Linked DNA regions of Lonchura striata. Each later gene encodes a partner of the first gene's protein in a complex. Links are inferred from orthologs where the notes say so. Each region holds a gene or a part of one and is shown in the gene's direction. Other genes may lie near its edges.

The links.
Region 2: NBAS (region 1) and RINT1 share a complex: the UniProt entries of both Homo sapiens proteins name them as parts of the NRZ complex. The link is inferred for Lonchura striata from reciprocal best matches to the Homo sapiens genes NBAS and RINT1.

The regions. Positions count from the first base shown.
Region 1 is NC_134605.1:101,621,609-101,632,270, reverse strand, and holds the start of NBAS (NBAS subunit of NRZ tethering complex), read left to right. Parts: upstream 1-5,121; 5' UTR 5,122-5,157; coding exon 5,158-5,295; intron 5,296-9,724; coding exon 9,725-9,779; intron 9,780-10,432; coding exon 10,433-10,469; intron 10,470-10,662. UniProt on the Homo sapiens protein: Involved in Golgi-to-endoplasmic reticulum (ER) retrograde transport; the function is proposed to depend on its association in the NRZ complex which is believed to play a role in SNARE assembly at the ER. Required for normal embryonic development.
Region 2 is NC_134607.1:59,930,171-59,940,739, reverse strand, and holds the start of RINT1 (RAD50-interacting protein 1), read left to right. Parts: upstream 1-5,917; 5' UTR 5,918-6,006; intron 6,007-7,048; 5' UTR 7,049-7,067; coding exon 7,068-7,244; intron 7,245-7,402; coding exon 7,403-7,644; intron 7,645-7,805; coding exon 7,806-7,979; intron 7,980-8,056; coding exon 8,057-8,206; intron 8,207-9,400; coding exon 9,401-9,557; intron 9,558-10,569. Other genes in the region: PUS7 (pseudouridylate synthase 7 homolog), read left to right, coding at 287-388, 2,114-2,243, 3,274-3,365, 4,037-4,173. UniProt on the Homo sapiens protein: Involved in regulation of membrane traffic between the Golgi and the endoplasmic reticulum (ER); the function is proposed to depend on its association in the NRZ complex which is believed to play a role in SNARE assembly at the ER.

The DNA.
Region 1 (10,662 bases):
GTAAATGACAAAACTAGTGAATTTTAAAGGCACAGATATGAATAATGTACAGATTCAACCAGAACTCTAAGAAAATCTGTTTGTAGGCAGACCTTGATATCAATATATAGTGCTGCTTGTTGGTGTGGAACGTGGACTGGAATTTACTATACATCTCCCAAAATTCTTTGAAACTTACACGATGTTACACAATCTACTATTGCTTTACAAGCTACATTGTCAAATATAGTTTAAAAATATAGACACAGTAAAAAGGCATTTTTTTCTCAGTAGTTGTTTCTTCTTGAACTCTTTCCCAAGATCCAACAAAGCTTTCACATTGCCCTGAATCCCTAGGTTCAGAATTTGAATTTTTGTTTAACCTAATTCTAGGCTACACAGTTGCCTATGTTATGTGTAGTAAATATAATTCGCGCCATTCCTTGTATGAAATATATAATATTGGATACTTGTTAGATTATGCCTGTTTGTATTAGTTCCCCCCCTTTGCAGGCGAGACTGGGTGTATATTGGAAACTGATTTACAAGTAAAAGGATGTGGCTCAGCCAGGAGATGGGCCATGTCTGGACTCCAGGTGCTGATCATCGGATGCTGATCATCACATAAATGGTCCAAGATGGATATCATGGAAGTCCTCAGACAGATACAAAGAAAATCTTATTAACCTATGGACTCTGAATAGAAGAAAAGACTGATCGCTGAAATCTTGGCCTCAGGCAGAATTTTCCCTATAAAACCCGCTTGTGCCAGGATGGAGGTGTGTGGGCATAGAGGAAAACCTCTGCTGAGGCTGACTCCTTGTTGCACACCCAGGGCCAACCCTGAGCTTGGCTCTGTTCTTTCCTTGTGGCTGGCTAGATAGAATTTGATTGCAAAATAAATATTTTATTTTTTCATATTATTTTGGCTGGACAAATTTTCATTTATAACACCTAAAAGAGTTTACTAACACAAGCAAAAATTATACGGAAGGAGCAGAAGTGTCAGGGTGAGAAATAGTTTTATTTATATTTTACAAATGCTTTATAAAGTTGCAGGAAAGAGGCTGAAGTATCAGTTCTTTTGTAATTATTTCACAGAACCAGGTTGGGAAGGATACCTGAGATCATTGAGTGCAACCTGTGAGAACACCACCTGGTCAACTAGACCAGGCACTGGGCGCCATGCCCAGTCTTCCCTTACACTGCTTCATGGACCGTGACTCCACCACCTCTGGGCAGCCCATTTCTATGTTTAACAACTCTTCTTGTGAAGAAATCCTTCCTAGTGTCCAACCTGGATCTCCCCTGGTGCACCTAAAGGCTGTTCTCTCATCCTTTGGCTTCTCGCCTGGGAGAAACGGAGCGCTCCCGGCTCCAGGCTCCCTTCAGGGCTGTTCAGGGCCAGGGGCTCCCCTGAGCCTCCCTCGCTCCAGGCTGAACACCCCCAGCTCCCTCAGCCGCTCCCCATGTGGGTCTGTGCCCTGACCCTTCCCCAGCTCCCTGGCCTTGCCTGGACACACTCCAGTGCGGTGGTGTGTTTTTCTTTCATTTGATATTTGTTTAATATCTGTTTCCCCCCCCAACCCCCCTTTCCCTGCCCCTTTCCCTAGAACCTTCCCTGTCATTCATTCTAGCCCCCTCCTCAGCTTCCAGATGTTAGTTCTGCCCTAAACTCCTCCCCTGCTATTCCCTCATTGGTTACTGTTCCTACACCCGTCCTCCTGAGTTCTGTATAAAACCTTTGCCCCCCCGCCCGCCGGGGTCTTGGGGCTCATGGAATAAAACCATCTCGTTCCCCCCCCAAGTCCCGTGTCGCCTTCGTCTGTCCCTGCGCGCCACGAACTGAAACTGCAGAGCTTGCGGGGGAAAGCGGCCGCCCGTTCTCTTCCCTCACCGCCCAGCACGGCTCGGAGTGCCGCGGCGAGGAGCGCATGCCGCGCCTCAACATATGGTAGCGAGAGGATGGTTCCCTCCTTCGTCTTGTAGAAAAAACGGGCAAATTCGTGGGGGCGCCCGCCTCACAGAAGAGGAAGGAGGGAAGAGGAACATCTACGGCCGTAAAAGCTCTGCCTGATGCTAAGAGGAGCTGAGCGCCGAGCGAAAAACTGACGCTCCGGGACCTCTTTGTTCTCGCCATCTTCCCGCCCGGGAGCAGCCGCGCTGCACGGGCAGCCGGGCTGCAGAGCTTTTTGGCGGGCAGACTTACCCGAGAACACAGAGGGCGGTTTTGGCAGCGGCTCGGGGGAGCCTGAAGAAAGGCTGATCGAGAAGAGGTTCATTCCTCGGTCAGCATCTGCAGCGAGACCACCGGAGGCTGATAGTGGCCGAAACCAAGGCTTCGGGGACGAGTCTTGGTTTAACGGGAACACCCAGGCTTCCGGAAGGGCCAAAACCGGGAAGGAACATCCCCAGTTTTTAGCGCGACTTTTCCATCGAGTCGAGGAGAAGATTCAAGCCATCTCCGTCCGAGCCTGCAAGGTAAGGTGGGCTACACGGGGTGGGGGTCGCCCCGACGGACGGCTGGGTCTGCCACTTTTTTTTCTCGCGTTTTAACCCCCGTCTGCGCCCAGACTGGGGCTGTAGCCGTGCATGTCCCTGGCAAGCGGGTGGGTTTTCTTTTTCTGGGAGAAGCTAGCACTGAGTGCTATCCTTCGCCTAGTCTTCTGTGGGGACCTAAATTAGATCGCTTTTTCTTCTCCTCGAAAAAGTTGTCTTCTCTATCCTCCCCTCCCCATTCTGGGCTGGACGGAGGGGGTAGAAAAGACACCAGTAGGGATCAGCTAAGAAGACGACACGTTAGCTATAGGAGAGTTGTTAAAAGGGGCCCTTTACACCCACGCATTGCGCCGACATCCAGCTGCGTCAGGCGGCCCCCCCCCCTCCTATAAATTTCCCCTTTTTGCTTCTGTGAAGCTCCCTATGCCCCCATCCCCTCGGACTTTCCTAAAACCCTTTCCTATCCTCCCTTGGGGATTGCTGTGGCCGAGCCGCCCCAAGTGCCCCGCCGGACACTGCTCAGGCCAAGTGCAGTGTATCTGGCACCCCCTCTCAAGATGGCGCTGGCCACGCCGCTTGGGACCCGCTTTCCCGCCTTGACCCTTCTTTTCCGCCCCTGGTTTCCCGCCAGTCCCATCTCTCCCCCAATAGCCCTGCACCGTCCCTGCACGAGGCTAGTCCCTATTGTGGGGAGGCGGGGTTAGATATTCCCCCATCCTTCTTCAGGCTCGTCCTCCGGGGAGAGGGTCGGGAGGGATCTTCTCCCGAGGAAATGGAGCCGAAACCCGGGACTGAGGATCCGTCATTTTGTCTTCCCCCTGAAATGGCGGCGCCCCGGTCCACCCCTTACCGATACCCCCTGTTAATCATGGCAATCACTAATTAAGTGATTGTCTGATTCCCCTATCCTATTCCTTAATGTACCCTACCCAATACTCCTTTTTATTTAACTACGAATTCCTCTTTTTGCTTTTGATTATTTTTGAATAATCTGTTTGTTGAGTTATATTTTATAGAAAAAAAAAAAAAAATCATCCCAGTTAATTATTACTCAAGATATTATGCCCACCTCTCAAACGGACATTCAAATTGAACAAACCACATCGCTATCCGCTGACTCTGCTTTAAAACAAGCGCCGTTATCCGCTGACTCTGCTTTAAGAATTTAAGAAGCTGAACATCGCAAACGCCGCGACGCAGCAAATTCTAAATCAGATGAAGTCACAAATCCTGCTGTGCTTTGTACCCTTAATTTGGACTCATTTAAGACAATTTTATATACTCCAGATGAAGTTTTTATATGTTTCATATGTTATAATCACAATTAGTTTATCATTTTTTAATGTCTTTCAATTTATGTTTTTTTAATAATATGTAATGTTACAATTTGATTTTATATTAAGTTGTTTTGTTATAATTATAATTAATTCAGTCTTTTCTGATATTTTTTAACTTAAAGGCTGTGTTTAACCATTATTGCTACAGGAATCACTCAGCTACTATATCGCTTCAGGCTTGCTGCATTGCTGCGAAATTTAAAAATTTATTAGTTATATTTAGTTGATCTTTTATTATATTTAATTCCAATAATTCCATTTAATTATTTTATTCAAATTAGATAGTTATAATTTTAATCATTCTAATTAAATTTTTTAATTTAATTTCTGTCAATTATTTCATTCTATTTCAATTATTTACATTATTTACATTATTTTAAATTGTTACTCAGAACAGCAAAACAGCAAGTTTTGTGCAGTCTTGTGTCTAATTTAAGCTGTTACTACTCTTCCTGCCCTATAAATGCAATAATGTGTCTTTCATGTCCTTTAAGTAATTTACAATGTTATCATATGATTTTATATTATTTGCATGTTTTATTAATTTGCTTAAACCACAAAATTCTCCTTCTTTTTGTAAAGTAAAAGAGGGAGATGCGGTGGTGTGTTTTTCTTTCATTTGATATTTGTTTAATATCTGTTTCCCCCCCCAACCCCCCTTTCCCTGCCCCTTTCCCTAGAACCTTCCCTGTCATTCATTCTAGCCCCCTCCTCAGCTTCCAGATGTTAGTTCTGCCCTAAACTCCTCCCCTGCTATTCCCTCATTGGTTACTGTTCCTACACCCGTCCTCCTGAGTTCTGTATAAAACCTTTGCCCCCCCGCCCGCCGGGGTCTTGGGGCTCATGGAATAAAACCATCTCGTTCCCCCCCAAGTCCCGTGTCGCCTTCGTCTGTCCCTGCGCGCCACGAACTGAAACTGCAGAGCTTGCGGGGGAAAGCGGCCGCCCGTTCTCTTCCCTCACCGCCCAGCACGGCTCGGAGTGCCGCGGCGAGGAGCGCATGCCGCGCCTCAACACTCCAGCCCTCGGTGTCCTTCCTGCCGGGAGGGACCCAGAACTTACAAATCAGCTAATTTTATCTGCTTGAGAGAGCTGAACGCTAGGAACTCTAACTGGTAGGACTGAAGTATTTAGAAGTCCTCCGTGGCACCATTAAGAACCACTTGCGAGAAATCCACGTTTTCCCTTTTCCCCGTTTTTTGCCCCTCTTCGGTCAGGGCTCCATCCACACCCCGAGGTCCCGCCCGCCGCGGGCCGGCGCCGCGCGAGTGAAAGGCGGAGCGGTTTGGCCGCCGCCGGTTGCCGTCGCCGCGGCGGCGCGGGCAGGGCGGGGCGGTCCGGCATGGCCGCCGCCGGCAGGGACCGCGGCGGGAGCCCCCGGGAGCGCGGCATGGCCGGCGAGCAGGCGGAGGACGGGGAGGAGAACATCCTGTACGACCTGCTGGTGAACGCCGAGTGGCCTCCGGAGACGGAGGTGCAGGTGCGTGTGGCCGCGGCACGGCCGCGGGCGGGGGAGGGGACCGGCCACGTTGGCGCGGGCGAGGACGCGGCGGCGCCCGGGGGCCGCGGGGCCGCGCCGGTGCCTCGGGAGGCTCGGCGGGATGGCCGCGCTGGGCCTGGCGGGCACGCGGCGTGTCCGTGCGGCCACTGTCCCCGTGTGCCTTCGTGTCGCTTAATTCCCACCGTGGCTTGTGCTGCCTGGGGTGCCTTGAAGTGTTGCTTGCTTATTGAACAATGTGTGTCGGGCTTTGCTGTTGAGCTGACACAAGCGAAACTCTGGTGAATGAAGTCCAGGTGTCGTCTCTAGAATCAGCCGTACAGAGAGCTGTGGAGTCTGTGCTGGTGAAAATAGGACCTTCGTTGGGTTTACCTTGTATGAGGAAAATTAGATCCTCTCTCTGGACTCCTGTATCAGTACAGTTGTGTCTGTATTTGCAGGGATAAAAGAGAAAAATATTTGATTTTCTGTCCACAATGCACACAAATATCTATTTCTGATTTCTTAAGTGCTAGTTTACACTGTTCTTGTACTGCAGGTTTTTAGTTATTTCTAGCTGTTCTTCTACCCGGATCACCAGAAAGGCTGAGAAGCTGTTTCATCTTACCTTTTTCATGTTTTCCTCTGCAATGTGCTGAGCTTGCTGCCTTTTGTCTGCACTTGGATTGACTTGGATATAGATGATGCGAGCAGTGTGGTTTTATTCCTTTCTTGTAGTGGCTTTTAAGTCTACTGAAGTTTTTAATGCATTTCCCACTGAAGGTTTGTAATAGAAGCATTTTAGCAAAGTTTTATGCTTAATGAGAACAGCTGAACAGAAAAGATGTAAAAACATCACAAGGGGAAGACTTATCTGTTAAAAATTACTAGAGCCATGCTCAAAACTGAATCATCAATACCACAGATTCCAACAAAAAAAAAAAAAAGTTTTCATTTGTCAGAAAGATTTTTTTGGTGTTGTTGCTCTTGATCTGTAAATCCTCAGTTGCAGCAACACTTATGGGTGTTTGGAAAACACGATTGCAGTATTACTATTTATTAGCTTAATAGGGTATTTGTATAGATGAATTGATAGTTGCACTTATTTTAATTCAACTGTGTTTTGAGAAATGGTAAATAGTCTTTGTTTTTAGTAGCATATGGAAACAATTCTCCTGTTGCAAACCATGAGGAGAACTTAGGTATGACACAAAACTGTGGTTCTTTTACAGCCGTGTTAAGGGGGCACATTTCTGACAAATGCGTTTTCTGCTGCCATAGTGTTCTTGAGGTTGTGTGGTAAGTTGATTAAAGAACTGATAACTCTGAGAAACAACAATGTTGTTTCATCTCCTCTTGTTAGTAGTCTCTCTAGTACCCCTGTAGTGTACTGGAGGGGGCTGTGAATAATAGGTTAGTGAGATGACACCTCTCCATGGTGGGGATGCCAATTTAAAGTGACTGTGTAACCACAGTCTGAGGGTCCTTATCTGCCCTGGTAGTCAGAATTTCTAAGCATCATTGAATTCTGCTTGTTAGCTTAAGCAGATGGTGGTGGTTGTTTTAAACTTGATATTTCTTGCCTATTTATTTTTAAGATAATACCTGTTTTCAATAGCAGAAGTTGGTTTGAAAATCCTATGCTGTATAATTTGCTTGGATTTACATTCTTTTTGGAATCTGTCAGTACTCAAGGACACTTCTGATAGTCTTTTTGCCATTTTAGTGGGAAATTGATTTTACACTGACAACATAGGCAAACAGATTATTTTGTCAGTATGAGTCACTTTTTGTCTTAAGATGCCTTAACAGTGATACTACTTAGGTGATTGTCCTAAATGACACCTAAGTGTCCTTAGGTGACATTCCCTTTGGAGCATCTGTCTCTTTTAGTCCTATTTTTTTCACACTCTTCAGAAAAAAATTATACCCTACTTTCTTGTAGAACTGAATCTTTTGGAATAAGTGAGGTAAAGAATGGTAGAAATGGAAAGGAAGTTGAATGCTGCACTGGGAAATGAAATTAGTTGTCTTCCTATGCAGTAATTTAGGCTACAAAGCCAGACCTTAAACTTTTACAGGTCTTTATTGACTTTATTTTTTCTGTTCTCTCATTTGGGATGATTAATTTTTAATTGCAGAGCACTAGGTCTTAAAGCTCTAATTATTGGAAGATGAGCCTTGGTGATGAAGATGTAAAATCATGTTAAATTCAAGACATTGATGAAACTGGCATGGATCTCTTGGGCTGAATGCCTAAAATTTTTAATATTACTTCTTGTTGGTATTATCATTCACCTGTACTGAGCTTTCCGGTAAGAATTTTTTGGTGGAAGGAGGGCCAGGGAGAGTTATAGTAGTTATTTGTGGAGGAAACACTCAAGGAATTGACTACACCAAAGAAGAGAGTGGTGTGGAAATCAAACAGTCTGTGTTCAGGATAGTGATGCCATTGTATAAAATGCACTGTTTGAGAACAATGAAATATATAATGAGAATAAAAGGAATTACTTAGTAGTAGATCCATGTATAGTGAAAATAGTGAATGAGGCAGTGGGTGTGGACAAGGCTGCAAGAGAGGACTTGTGAGGTGATTTATGGAGATATAGGCAGATGGAAATCTCTTCAAATTATTTTCCAAAATGTATCACCTGGTCTTGTGGGTTTTGTTTTTTCATTACAGTCTAACGTTTTGAGATTTCCCCAACACCCACCAGCTTCTGTCCCCCCAGTAAGTTTGCAGGCTGTGCAAAGAAATCCAAAACTAAGTGGGTGACTTGTCAGCAAGAAAGTTACTTAGATTTTATTTCTGGAAGGCTGTCAGGAAGGAAAAATAGAAGTTGTTTTCCCAAGAAGGAATGAATTAAAAAGAAATACAGCACATCTGGTAACCATTGCTATTCCTGAAATGATAAGAATATGTTATAAAAAGTAAAACTCAAGTCTTTGGGATTTAACAGTAAATCAGTTTTGTGAAGTATCGAAGATGTATGGAATAGCAGCCTGTAGTTTAGGCTCAGGACCAGACACTTAAAATATTAATAAAAAATTCTAAAGAGATGTAAGCAGTTTTAGGAAATGATTTTTTTTACTGGGAACTTCCTCATAATCCAAAAACTTAACAAGCTCTCCTTTTAAGGTCCCTAGGAAATTGCAGCTCTCCCTGAGGTTCTGGGGTAGCTGTAAGAAATAATTTATGCTTTCACTTATTTTACTGTAATGCATTGTTATTTCCTAGCTGATCAGCCTGAATGTGGAATGTTATCTATTAGTACAGCTGTGTTTGCTTCTTACACGCTGTGAGATGACAGCCTGGTTATTTGAAAGACTGTTTATGGATTGCAAACTTTGCCTGGAAAACTAATCTTTACTTTAACAATTTAAATTTGGGAGGCCAAATACTATTTTTTAAGCATAGCCATATTGCAAAATGTTGATAAATTTGTATGTCTTTCAGTGTTTACTGCTTTGTAACTTGGTGAGGCCTGAATATTTCAGTTAATGGGAAATTTGCTCTATATATTTTTTGTATTGAATGGAAGAGAAAATTCAGTTATTGCCTACTCTGATGCTCAGTTTGTGGTGCTCTAATATTCTCATTAGAAAGGTATAAACATGATTGCTTATTTTGAGGATTTTTTGTGGATCCTTCCTTATTGGTTATCGTTTTTCACTCCTCCGTTTTGTATCTTCTTTCTGCTTCTTACTGACAAAATATTGTCTTACTGACAAATAATTTTAACTCCTCTTATAGATAAGCATATATATCCTGTGTTGTTTTTGTATTCCTTTTTTCTGTGTTTGGAGAGTGCTTTCATTTATATAGTGACTGCCGTTGCTCCCTGTGCCTAAATTAGGGCAGGTGGAAAGGCTGTGTGAGATGGTATTATCTAGAGGTGGTTTTCCAAGTGGCCGTATTACATAGTACAAATTGATGTAAAAAGAGGTGTTTTTTTTTCAGAAATTGTTTTTCTTAATGTTTCTGAAACTTTCATGAGCAATCTTTAGGTAGCTTAGCACTTAGATATTAACGTAATATGTTGCACACTGAGTACTTTGACTGCTAGGCATTACAGATCATTGTGGCATTTATTTGGCATAAAAAGAATGATCTATAATGGCTTACAGGAGAACACAATCAGAAGTCAGTGTCTTTTGTTACTACCCAAAGATTGAGGCAAAGCTGAATCAATAGACAATCTGTAGCACATTTTGTTTATTGCATCCTGACATTTAAATTATTTGGTGTTACAGCCTGTTTTAGCTTATGCAGTTAAAGGAGACGTTATATGAAGTAGTGAGTAATAGGAAATACACAATGAACTTGTAGGCTAGGAGCCAACTTAAACTTAGTCAGTGAATGTATGTATGAGTGTTGTATTTAAGTAAAAATGTGTGACATGGTGTCTGATGATTATTATTGTAATTGCAGCCAAGAGGCAGCAGAACGCATGGTGCATCATTTATCATCACTAGAGCAATTGCAGGTAAATATTACTTGTTCTTACATTCATGAGGTCTAAGACTCTGTGGATTACTTGTAAATTTTACAATTTCTGCCCTTTAGAGTGCCTAATGATGGAAATAGCAATCGGAATAGAGTACAGGATGTATTTTCAGGAAGATGTTTTCTGGTTGTGAACGTGGCTGTGTTATTTTTATGTCAATTTTGTAAGCATTCTTGTCTCCATTAGTTTGTTGGGACAAACTAATAAACTATACATCTTAGGAGTTAACAAGGTCTGTGTTTTGCAAACTGTATTGGAGCCTTTTTTCCCCCCCCCTCTCTTAAAGTCTCTTGTACTGGGCTGTCTGCTAGTTAGTTCTATGAGGAAGTTTTAAATTCTGATGATATTACATTTCATAAACCAATTGTTAAATGTCAGTGACTGAACTGTATTTTCATCCAGTAGAAATTTATCTTAAAATGAAACAAAATAGTGCAGTGGTTTGGTTTTTTGTTTGTTTGTTTTTTATTTGCCATTTGCATTTATTCTAACATAAGAATTTGTTGGCCAAATTTAAAGGATTTTTCTCTCAATACCTTTTTCTTTAATGAGAATTTGAGATTCCCTGTGCAGTAATCTGGAGGGTGTTTTAAGACTACTAGAGATGTAATTTTTACCTCTTTCCATTTTAGGTCCTGCATTGTTTTTGCTTCAGTACATCTGGTACAGGTAAGTTTTACAAAAATATTGCTTAATTTTCCTATTTGGTAATATTTTTATAGCTTTTTGATTTGATGGAAAGTAATTCCTCATTGGAGTAAAACTGAACACTTGTTTAGAATATTGTCCTAGAAATGCATAGAATAGCCACTTTTCTCAAATTGAGTTGCAGCTGAAGTCTAAATAGAAGAAAACTGGTAAG
Region 2 (10,569 bases), on another chromosome or scaffold:
ATATGCCTGGTGCATGGAAGGGGGCTGTTCCTCTAGCAGTCCTTACGTCATGTAGCTTTAAGCCACTGGAAGCCAGGCTGTAATTCTGCCTGGCTTCTGTAACTGTGACAGCCTTGGAGGCTGTTACTTCTTTTCTTAGAAATGTTGTCTGTTAAGTGGAGATAAAACATGGTTGTTATCTTTCTCAGAGTAAACTTATTTCAATCAAAGGCTTTATTTTAAATTTAGCTGGTTATTTGTCACAGGCATCTATGCTGGTAATTTCATTTTTCTGTCCTGACTGTAGCCACAGCTGTTCACATTGAAGAAGGAGATGTTGACAACTACACTATCCACGATGTAGTGATGCCATTGCCTGGATTTGATGTCATTTATCCAAAGCATAAAAGTGAGTCTGACTGTTAACTGAAATACCTGAAATACTTACTCTGAAAAGATAAGTTTGCCTTAAGATTGTTCTTAAAAGGAAGAAGTCACTCAACCTTGGTGACTTTTAAAGCAATACATCACTTCAGATCTTTAAAACATTAATGTCAGCTTTCTGTTGCTGCCAGGGTGCTCTGCTCAGTCTCCTTCCCACTGGGAATCCCAGATGACAGCAGAGCAGAATTTCTCACTAACCTGTACCACTACAAGGATTTAATCAGGTACAGGATTTTGTCCTTGATGAATTTCATGAGGTTCCTCTTGGCCCATTCCTCTAGTGTGCCTCAGTCCCTCCGAATGGCAGTCCTCTCCTTGCATGTATTGAATACCACCCCAGCTTGATTTAGCCCACAGATTGGTTGGGGTAAATTCCAGCTCTTCTCCACTATTTCACAGGACACATCTCTTCCAGCTCTTCTCCACTATTTCACAGGACACATCTCAGTTCCTTGAGGAACTCTGCTTCTAGGTAGAGCTACAGCCAGTAGTGACTATACTTTGAGATGCTGAGCCAGACAGCTGTTACCCACTTACCAGTCCACCGACTGTAATGTTCTCACCTGGGACACAAAGATGCTCTGGGAATACGTTGACAGCCTTGCTAAAGGCAAGGCAGGCAACAGTCCCTGCTCTCCCCTCATCCATAGGTGTAATAATTCAATCATAGAAGACACTAAGGTTGGTGGGTGTTTTGCTTTTTCTCTTTTTTTTTTTTTCCCCTCATATTAAAACCACAGTCATTGTATGCCCAGAGAAGATTACATTATTTTTCCCAGCAATCAAAGTGAGCCTGACTGGTCTCTAATTCCCTAATTATCTTTCCTGCTCTTTCTGAAGTTGGGTGCAGCACTTGTTTTCCACATTTGTCTGGGACATCCCTAGATCTGCACAATCTCTGAGGTGATAAGAGAAAAACTTCACCATGACATAAGCCAGCCTGTATCTTTGCCCACTACTGGTAGTCCCTCTTTCTTAACCTTGCCTCTAAGGTGGTCAAGGCCAAGGCAAAAGGGGCCTTGAGACCATCAGCCTTATGTCTGTCACTAGACCAGCTGCCCTGTTTAGCACCAGGCCATCACTTTCCTTGTATTCCTTCTGTTGCAGCTGAACTCTTGCTGGTCTTGATGTCATTTGCTGCTTTCAACTGTAGCTGAGCTTTGGCTTTCCTAACACCATTTCTGTGTACCTGGACAATGCTGGTGTAGTCCCTCTTTGTAGCTGCCCCTAGGTTTCACCTGTTCTATGTGTTCTTATAGATTGGGTTAGTCATGAGTTCCATGCACATTTTCCTTAATATTGGATTGAACTGTTCTTGTACTGTCAAATTGTCAACTGATTTCTCTCTGCTGCTTTTTAATGAGAGAGTAATGGGTAGTCTGGCCCTTTTTTTTTCACCATATACCTGAGATTAGTCCTGTGAAGTCTAGAAAATTGGAATGCATGTATGAGATGACATTTAAATGTCAATAAAGTATTTTGTAAATTTTGTTTTCGGCTGAAATTTGATTTGATGTGTTCTTGGCTACTGCCTATGCTAATCAGGGTGTAGAAGTAAACATTTAAACTCTGTGCAGTATTTATCCCATATATGCATATTTAGCATATATGCTAAATTTAAGGGAAGAGAACAATCCATGAAAACAGTCTGCTTAAATTGGTAACACTACTATATTTTCCTCTCTTACAGTTGGTGAGGCCTACAAGGAGATGCTGGTAGCTGACAACCTTGATATCAACAACATGAGGCATAAAATCAGAGATTACTCACTTTCTGGAGCATACAGAAAAATTATCATTCGGCCTCAGAATGTCAATTGGTGAGTTGGAGCATAAAGGAGATTACACTTGCTAGCATAGAGTTTATTTAAATACAAAACAACATGAGACTGATCCATGGAACATCCACACAGACTGAAACATAGGTAGAAAGGAATCTCTCTGCACTTCTCTCATGTTTTTAATGCAGCTGAAGTGGAACTATAGCCTTTTCCTTGGTTCTCTAGTTCTGTGGTGGAGGAGTATCAAGACATCTTAGCTAGTTGTTCACTCCTTGCAAGGACTTGCCTGAACACTTCATAGATAATACTTAGGTTGAAACAATGATAGCTAATATTCAGAATAGGGTTTTTTGTAGTCTTGCTATAAAAAAGTTGGTCTCAAATTATCTATCAATCAGAAAAATTTGTGTCACTTCATCCTACTAAATCACTGTTGTTAGAGATATAGCCTAGTTTTCATATGGCAACTGAGTAAATACCTTTTAAACAGGAAACTGTACAAATGTGCAGGAAAACACTATCACTGATGCATAGAATTAAATATAGAGGATTTAGGAGCACAGAAATACAAATATTTATACTTGAAACATCAGCACTAATTAATATTAAGTTTGTCTACTTCCCAGTTAGTTTTTCAGCCTCATGGTTACATATTGGATTTATGTTAAATGAATGGCAGAAACTGTAGAATATCTTAGCCCATTCAAAGTTTGGATAACTATTGAAAGGCTTCACTTGTGCTAGGTACTCTTAGAGTTGACACCAGTCTTCCCTTAATTTCATGAACTATACTTCTTGTGTAGTTGAAAATTCTGACAGCACACAAGGGCAGGCAGATGAGTTATGCAAAGAAGCTTCTCACTAATTGTTTTTTGACAATCTTCATAAAGCCAAGGCAAATCTTCTACATAAAGCTTTACTCATTATTTTGCCTAATTCAATTTCAGTTGTAAATGCCAAACTGCAATAATAATAATAAAAAAATAATATTGTAATAAATACACATTTATATAAAATGTGTTAACCTAAATAATTTTAAATAATAATAAATTTTATGTATGTTATAAAGGGAAGTTGTTGCATATGATGATCCTAAAATCCCATTATTTACTACGGATTTGGATAAACTGGAAGGAAAACCATTACCAGTACTCCCTACAGGTAAGTTGATTTTTCTGCTGGTTTGCTAAATGGGAAGTTTGATCTGGCTGTTGCTTTCAATTGCTGCATAGTCAAATCTCCTTTAAGGAAGAGCTTTCACTTAAATATTGACTGTTAAGTGGTGGTAACAACAGGACAGGCATCTAAATAAGGACCCCGATTTCTCAAGGGTGAAAGCCATTCCTCCAGCATCTGTATTGACTGCTACATTTTCTTACAGACATCTGTAAAATCAAGTAAATGCCTAGCAGTAAATGTCTGCAACTAACAAAGGTGGAATTAAGTCACAAATTGTCTATATACTGAGCTTGTATTATTGATGCTGAACACAGATGACTGAAATACTTAACTCTGGTCATAAGGTGTTTTGACACTGCTTTCCAGAAAAGCGAAGACAGGCTAGGAATTGAGTCTGAAAGAATTAATATTTGCTTTTAGAAGAAGAAAACTCTGAAACCACCACTTTGTCCTGAGAGAAAATGTTAAATTGTTTCATTAAAATTTTCACTTGGATTATAAACAGGAATGCGATGGTGGTGGTTGCTTTGCTTTATGGGCTGGGAAAGTTGGTTGTGGAAACTGTTAGTTCAGTTTAGATGGCATCCAGAATAAGCATTATATATGCCCTTAACCACTTGTTCTTGTTTTTTGTCTCTTACACCTGCTGATAGATGGCAAATTCAGGGCACTAAAGATGGAGTTCTCCCTTCCCCCATCCACTTACGCGACCATGGCGATTCGAGAAGTTTTGAAAATGGACACAAGCATAAAAAACCAGACACAACTGAATACTACCTGGTTGCGCTGAGTGAACTGCACAATTATTTGATTTTAACAATGTTTTTCTTATTTACATGTTCTGTACAAATCTTTAAAGAGTCACAGTAAAAAATTTGTATTTTTTTAAGTTTTTTTAGTGCTAGCATTTAACTTCAGTAGTCCTTTGAAAGATGGTGACTGTAATATAATAAGGATTTTAGTGACTGGTGCTTTTTACTGAATGAGTAACTTGAGGTGTATCTTTAGAATTGTGCTTATAATGGCATCAGACCTGGAAGAATGTTTAGCTTGCTTTCTTTGGGCAAGCACTGAATGTTTTCAGGAGTTCAGCTGCCCGTGAAGTCTTTTCAAATACAATGAATTACACGGGGAGAGATGAATTACAATAAAATTAAGATACTGATGAACATATGTATTGCTGGAGTTTTGCTAGTAGCATTTGCACTGATGCAGTAGCAGATTCTTTTAGCAAGGCTTTTATGTGCTGTAAAGCTGCACAGCTCTTTTAAATATGTCCGACTTTTCATTGAGAAAACACTTGTATTTTCCAGCTAATACCTGTACCAAAGAACAGGTACTACAAATAAACTAACCTGAAACTCTGAGCGTGTATCAGTGAGCGCTTCCTTTGCGCCTGTCGCTTGTTGGCGGGGAATGCCTTGCTGTTGGGGGAAAAAAATCCTGTGGGAGCTTTCTAAAGAGACGTGGCCTTTTCAGCCAAGCGTTGCTAGTCCTGTCGCCGGCCGTGGCAGAGGCGGCGGGGGAGGCCAAGAGGTGTGAGGCCGTGTCCCAGGAGCGCGGGGCGGGACAGCCCCGGGCCGGCGGGACAGCCCCGGGCCGGCGGGACAGCCTCAGGCCGGCGGGACAGCCCCGGGCCGGCGGGACAGCCCCGGGCCGGCGGGACAGCCTTGGGCCGGTGGGACAGCCCCGGGCCGGCGGAACAGCCTTGGGCCGGTGGGACAGGCCCCGGGCCGGCGGGTCAGCCCCGGGCCGGGCCGTGTCCCGGGAGCGCGGGGCAGAACAGCCCCGGGCCGGTGGGACAGCCTCGGGCGGGCGGGACAGCCCCGGGCCGGCGGAACAGCCTCGGGCCGGGCCGTGTCCCGGGAGCGCGGGGCAGAACAGCCCCGGGCCGGCGGGACAGCCCCGGGCCGGCGGGACAGCCTCAGGCCGGCGGGACAGCCCCGGGCCGGCGGGACAGCCTCGGGCCGGCGGGACAGCCCCGGGCCGGCGGGACAGCCCCGGGCCGGCGGGACAGCCTCGGGCCGGCGGGACAGCCTCGGGCCGGGCCGTGTCCCGGGAGCGCGGGCCGGGAGCGCCGCGGGGCTCCCGGGAGCGGCGCCGCGCCTGCGCCCCGCGCTCCGCCGGCCGCGGCGCCGCTGACGCGGCGGGGGCGGTGCCGCGGCCGCGGGCGGCTGAGGGCTCCGGGCGGCGGCTGAGGGCTCCGGGCGCCGGCTGAGGGCTCCGGGCGCCGGCTGAGGGCTCCGGGCGGCGGCTGAGGGCTCCGGGCGCCGGCTGAGGGTTCCGGGCGGCGGCTGAGGGCTCCGGGCGGCGGCTGAGGGCTCCGGGCGCCGGCTGAGGGCTCCGGGCGGCGGTGACGGCTCCGGGCGGCGGCTGAGGGCTCCGGGCGGCGGCTGAGGGCTCCGGGCGGCGGTGACGGCTCCGGGCGGCGGCCCCGCGGCGCTCCCGGCCCGGCAGGGAAGCGGCGGCCGTGGCGGCGGAGGAAGGGCTCGCCGAGCGGCGCTGGGCTGAGGGGCTGCCCGGCCGCCCGGCCCGGGCCGCGGGCGGCGGCGCTCCGCTCGCAGCCTGCCGGAGCCCGCGGAGCCTGCAGCCGGCCCTTGGCAGGGCCCGGCCGCTGGCCGAGGTGGGTGCTGGGCCGCGGGGCTGAGCGGGCAGCTGCTGGGAGGGATGCGCCGGAGTCCTGTTCCTGCCTTGTGTAACCAGAGCCTTCCCACTAAGTATGAAAGGAGCACCATTTGGTTGTTTTTTTTCCTGCCGTTTAGTATTTACATTGCTGCAAACAGGAGTATTACTGCTCTGTTTTCTTTATTCGATTATTCTTCTGCAGCACCCTTGGTCGCCCAGTTTGTTCTTCCTGGTGCTCTCTATTGTCTCTGCAACTCTGGCTCATCAGCTGCGCCGCTTCCTCGCTCCTGTTGTCAGTTTAGTAGGGGTTTTAATTAAAGCTTGTAGCAGATGAAGTGCAAGTGTATCGGTTTTTATTTTTAAATACTCTTTTGAAAGTGACGCGGATAAATTGAGGATTGATCTGGCCAAACAGTTGTCACTGTTGCCTTTTCTGTTTCACTGTGGACATCCTCTCAATGTTGGGTTTCTCTGAATGCTGCCAAATGTGTGGATCAGCAAATACCTTTTAAGTTATACTGTGTGGGTTTTTTGGGCTAAAACTTCACTGATGTATTTACTTTCCAAATTATTATAAGGCCCACATGGATACTTTGCTAGTAATGCAGTAGACATGTGTTGGAATCTCTAAAATTTCCTAAACTTGTGAAAAGGGAAAGTGGAACCTTAGCTTCCTTTTTATTTTACAAATTTTTTTGTAGTTTTTATTAAGTTTTCTATATTATATATGTAGGAACTACATATTTCTTGAACTATTTTTAATAGAATTTGTGCTTTTGGTGAAGGAAGAAATTATCAGATGTATTTATCTTTAGTAGTTAATATATAATAAATCACCAGTTGGTTATGTCAGCAAGGTTTTATCAGACCTCAGACTTAAGCCAGTAAATTGTCTCACTTAAAGCAGTATAATTAATGAATATGGTATTTCAGTCTCAGTTTAAATTGAACTGCCCAGCTTTTCATGGAGTTTTGTTCCTCAGTAGATAATATTTGTTTGTGCTGTCTTAGTGTCAGCTAACTAGAAATTGTATACTCAGTATTGCAGAGAAAGAAAACATGGCAAGCATTGCTGTTAGAAAGAAAGAAGTCACTAGAGATCTAGACCACTGTGATATCCCATACTATGTTTCTGAATTTGTGGAAAGAGAACTTGGAAGTGACTATGATTCCCTGGGGAAACTAGACAGCCTGATTGAAAAGCTATCTGAAAACAAAAAGCACTTAGAAGAACAGGTAAGCATCTTTCTGTTTCTTTTCTTTTTTTCTTCTGAACATGCTGTATGACTGATTGAGAATATGAAACTAAATGAAATGTACCAGTATCTCAAATAGTACTGCTCTACACAGTGCAGTGGATTTGTGTCTGCATTGATGCATCTCTGTCAATGCAGGTACTTACAGTTTCGTCAGAAGTCCCTAAAAGAATTCAGAAAGCCTTAAAGAATGCAGAAGATTCCAAAAAGTCTCTGAGTCAGCTTCTGGAGGAGGAAACTGTTCTGTCTGAGTCCATCAGTAGCCACTTGCTGAAAGCTCAGCCATGGATGGAGGATCTCGATGTGCTGATAGGTCAGGTAGAAGAGATCGAGCGACACCTGGCCTACCTCGAGTGGATTTCTCGCATAGAAGAGCTCAGGTAGTTTCTGAGTAGTGGGTATGTTCTGAGACTGGTGACCTGGTTTATTATTAAAATATTTTAAATTCAAAAAAGTTTTGTCTTTACTTTTCAATATACAAGTTATTCTTTTCTGTTGTCATTAATGAATATTTGGCCTTGTCTTTTTTTGTGTTTTATAGTGATAGCATTCAGCAATATCTGCTGACCAACAATGTTCCAGAGGCAGCCAGTACTCTAGCATTCATGGCAGAATTGGATATTAAACTTCAGGAGTCATCTTGTTCTCATCTTCTTGCTTTTGTGAGATCCACTGTTAAATTTTGGCATAAAATCCTTAAGGACAAATTGACAAGGTAAGAGAGATACTGTGACTCTCTCATCTTTATGTTGTACTGTCAGTTGATGTCCTGGTGATTATTTTGTGTTGCAGTGACTTTGAGGAGGTGCTGGCACAGCTCCGCTGGCCCTTTGTGGGGCCACCTCAGTCCCAGGCATTTGGCCTTGCTGCACCAGCCAATGCTCCTGAGGTGTACAACAGCTTGGAGATGCTGTTCTGTCAGCTTCTGAAACTGCAAACCTCGTATCCTTTTAAATCCTTGCAGTGAATTTTAGCAAAAATAAAAACTGTTAGAGATGTACATTCTCAAGGAGAATTATTTAAAATTTTATTCTCCCTAAAGACAGAATATAATTTATATTACTTTGTATTAACAGTAGAATGTTGTGGGGATTTGGTTTTTTTTTTTTTTTTTGGGTGGGTTTTTTATTTGTTTGTTTGTTTGTTTTGGCATTTATAAAATGCCAAGTGCCAAAGTTGTCCTTTTTGTCAGTACCAACATTTTAACTCCAAGTCATCAGATCCAGTGCTCTCATGGTAGCTGACAGTTCAGGTTGCATGAGAATGTGGCCTTACACTGTTTGGAACCATTACCCATGCATGTTAATGAAAAAATGGTGATGTGTGTTTTATGAGACACAGTTAATGCTTTTCCTTTTAAAGCCTTTTGTGAAATAAGATTTAACTACTTTAATATGTCCTGTCCCAGAAGGAAAAAAAGGGAAAACTAAACATACCTGTCTTGGAAGGAGAGTTTACAAAAAGGGGAGACTGCAGGAGGATTTCTGTTGTGCAGCAATCATAAGTCTGCCTTTGAGGTTGCTCAGAGGGCACTGCAGCTTATTCTGTCCCTGATTTTTATGAATTAAATAATTCACAAAAAATCAGTTAAAACTCAAGTTTAACTAAGCCTTTGTGTGTGTGTGACTGTGGCTGATGTTTTTCTTTTTTTTTTTTAATCACACAGCAGAAAGATGCAAGGCCATTGTACACAATCCTGAGTTGGTTACAATTTTGGTTTGGCAGAGTGGCTCACTTAGATCTATTACATGAAAATGGGAAATCATGTGTTGCATTTATTAATCCCAAGAGTCTTTATCCTCCTTTAACAAATATGAATAACTGTGTCTCTTGGACAGCCACTGTGTTTCTGACAGTGGTGCTTTGCTGGGTTCTTACAAGTTTCCTAAATCAAACAGACTCAAGGGACATGTATTGTCATTGAATAAATAATCCCTAAAGACCTGAGTTATATTTAATATTACATAAAGTGGAATATTTTGAGTATCTTTTACAAGGAATTGTATTGTTTTCATAATACTGCCTTTGGTTAATGGTATAGTACTAAGCAGTGTTCATTTTTATAAGCCCATTCTATTGAAATTATGATGCTGGGGTAATTCAACACTAATGTGCATCCTTGACTGTCAAACTTAGAGATGAGCTGTTAACCAAACCTAAACAATTGCCAGAAAAGTACCCTTTACCCCCTTCACCACCAATCGTCCTTCCCATACAGATCATGCTGAATCCTCTTCAGAAAAGATTCAAATATCATTTCACTGGAAATAAACAAACCAATGTTCTTAACAAGGTATGGGAGAAAGCGGTTTGACATTTTTAAATTGCTTTGTAAACAACCTCTAGATTGCTGTGTTTAAATTGTACAGATTTCACATTTTCCAAAATTAGGATTCGTCAAAACTGTGCAGTTCTTGTGCCTACCTAAGTGTGGACAGACATTGAGATAGCACTTGGAGACCTTTCAGAGACACAGGCATTTTATCTGGGTGAGGCAATATTTTTCCCTTGCCCAGATCCTTCATAAAGCATCATTACAATCTTAGACTGACTCCCATCTGTTCACAGGTTTTGATTAATTTCTTCTGTCTTGTTGCAAATGGTTTTGCACTGTTCTGTATTTCTTGAGCTCAAAGGCTGTGACTTTGATTTTTGGCACTGTGTTTTGCAACCATCATGTAACTGAAAATGTTGGATATGAAATGTAATTAGTCCAAAATATGGTTAAATAGTTCTTTTTTTTTAATGGGTTGAATTTTTTGATTTGCATAAAACAAGAGGTGCTGATTTTATCAGTTGGAAACTGACTCACTTTTTCTTTGAATTGACTTCAAAGACTGAGGATTTTTATCTGAGTATTACCATTGGAATGGGTTTCATTGCATTAATGCCACTGCAACATCTGGAGCAGAGTTTGAGAGATGTCTTGTAGCAGTCCGGTTGCACAAGTCTGCTTACGATCACCATCATGTGTAAATCTAAATACATTTGCAGTCTCGACAGATGCTACTGCAGAGCTTTTTAAAATACTGTTTTGTATGTTAGTGGGAAAGAGGTATTTTAGATATGCACAAAATTTTTTTGAGAGCAAATGGAAAATTTACATTGAAGACATTGAATTTGCAAACAATAGGTGAACAACCATTTTAAAAAGAAGAACTTGTTAAGAAAAGTTTACAGGGAATCTAGTGTCAGGTCAGAAAGGTATTTCAACAGGGCATTGCTGAAATTTGGGTTGGGTTTTTGGATTAGGTTTTGGGGTTTTATTGTTTAGTAGTTACTTGGATAACACAATAAAGAAAATT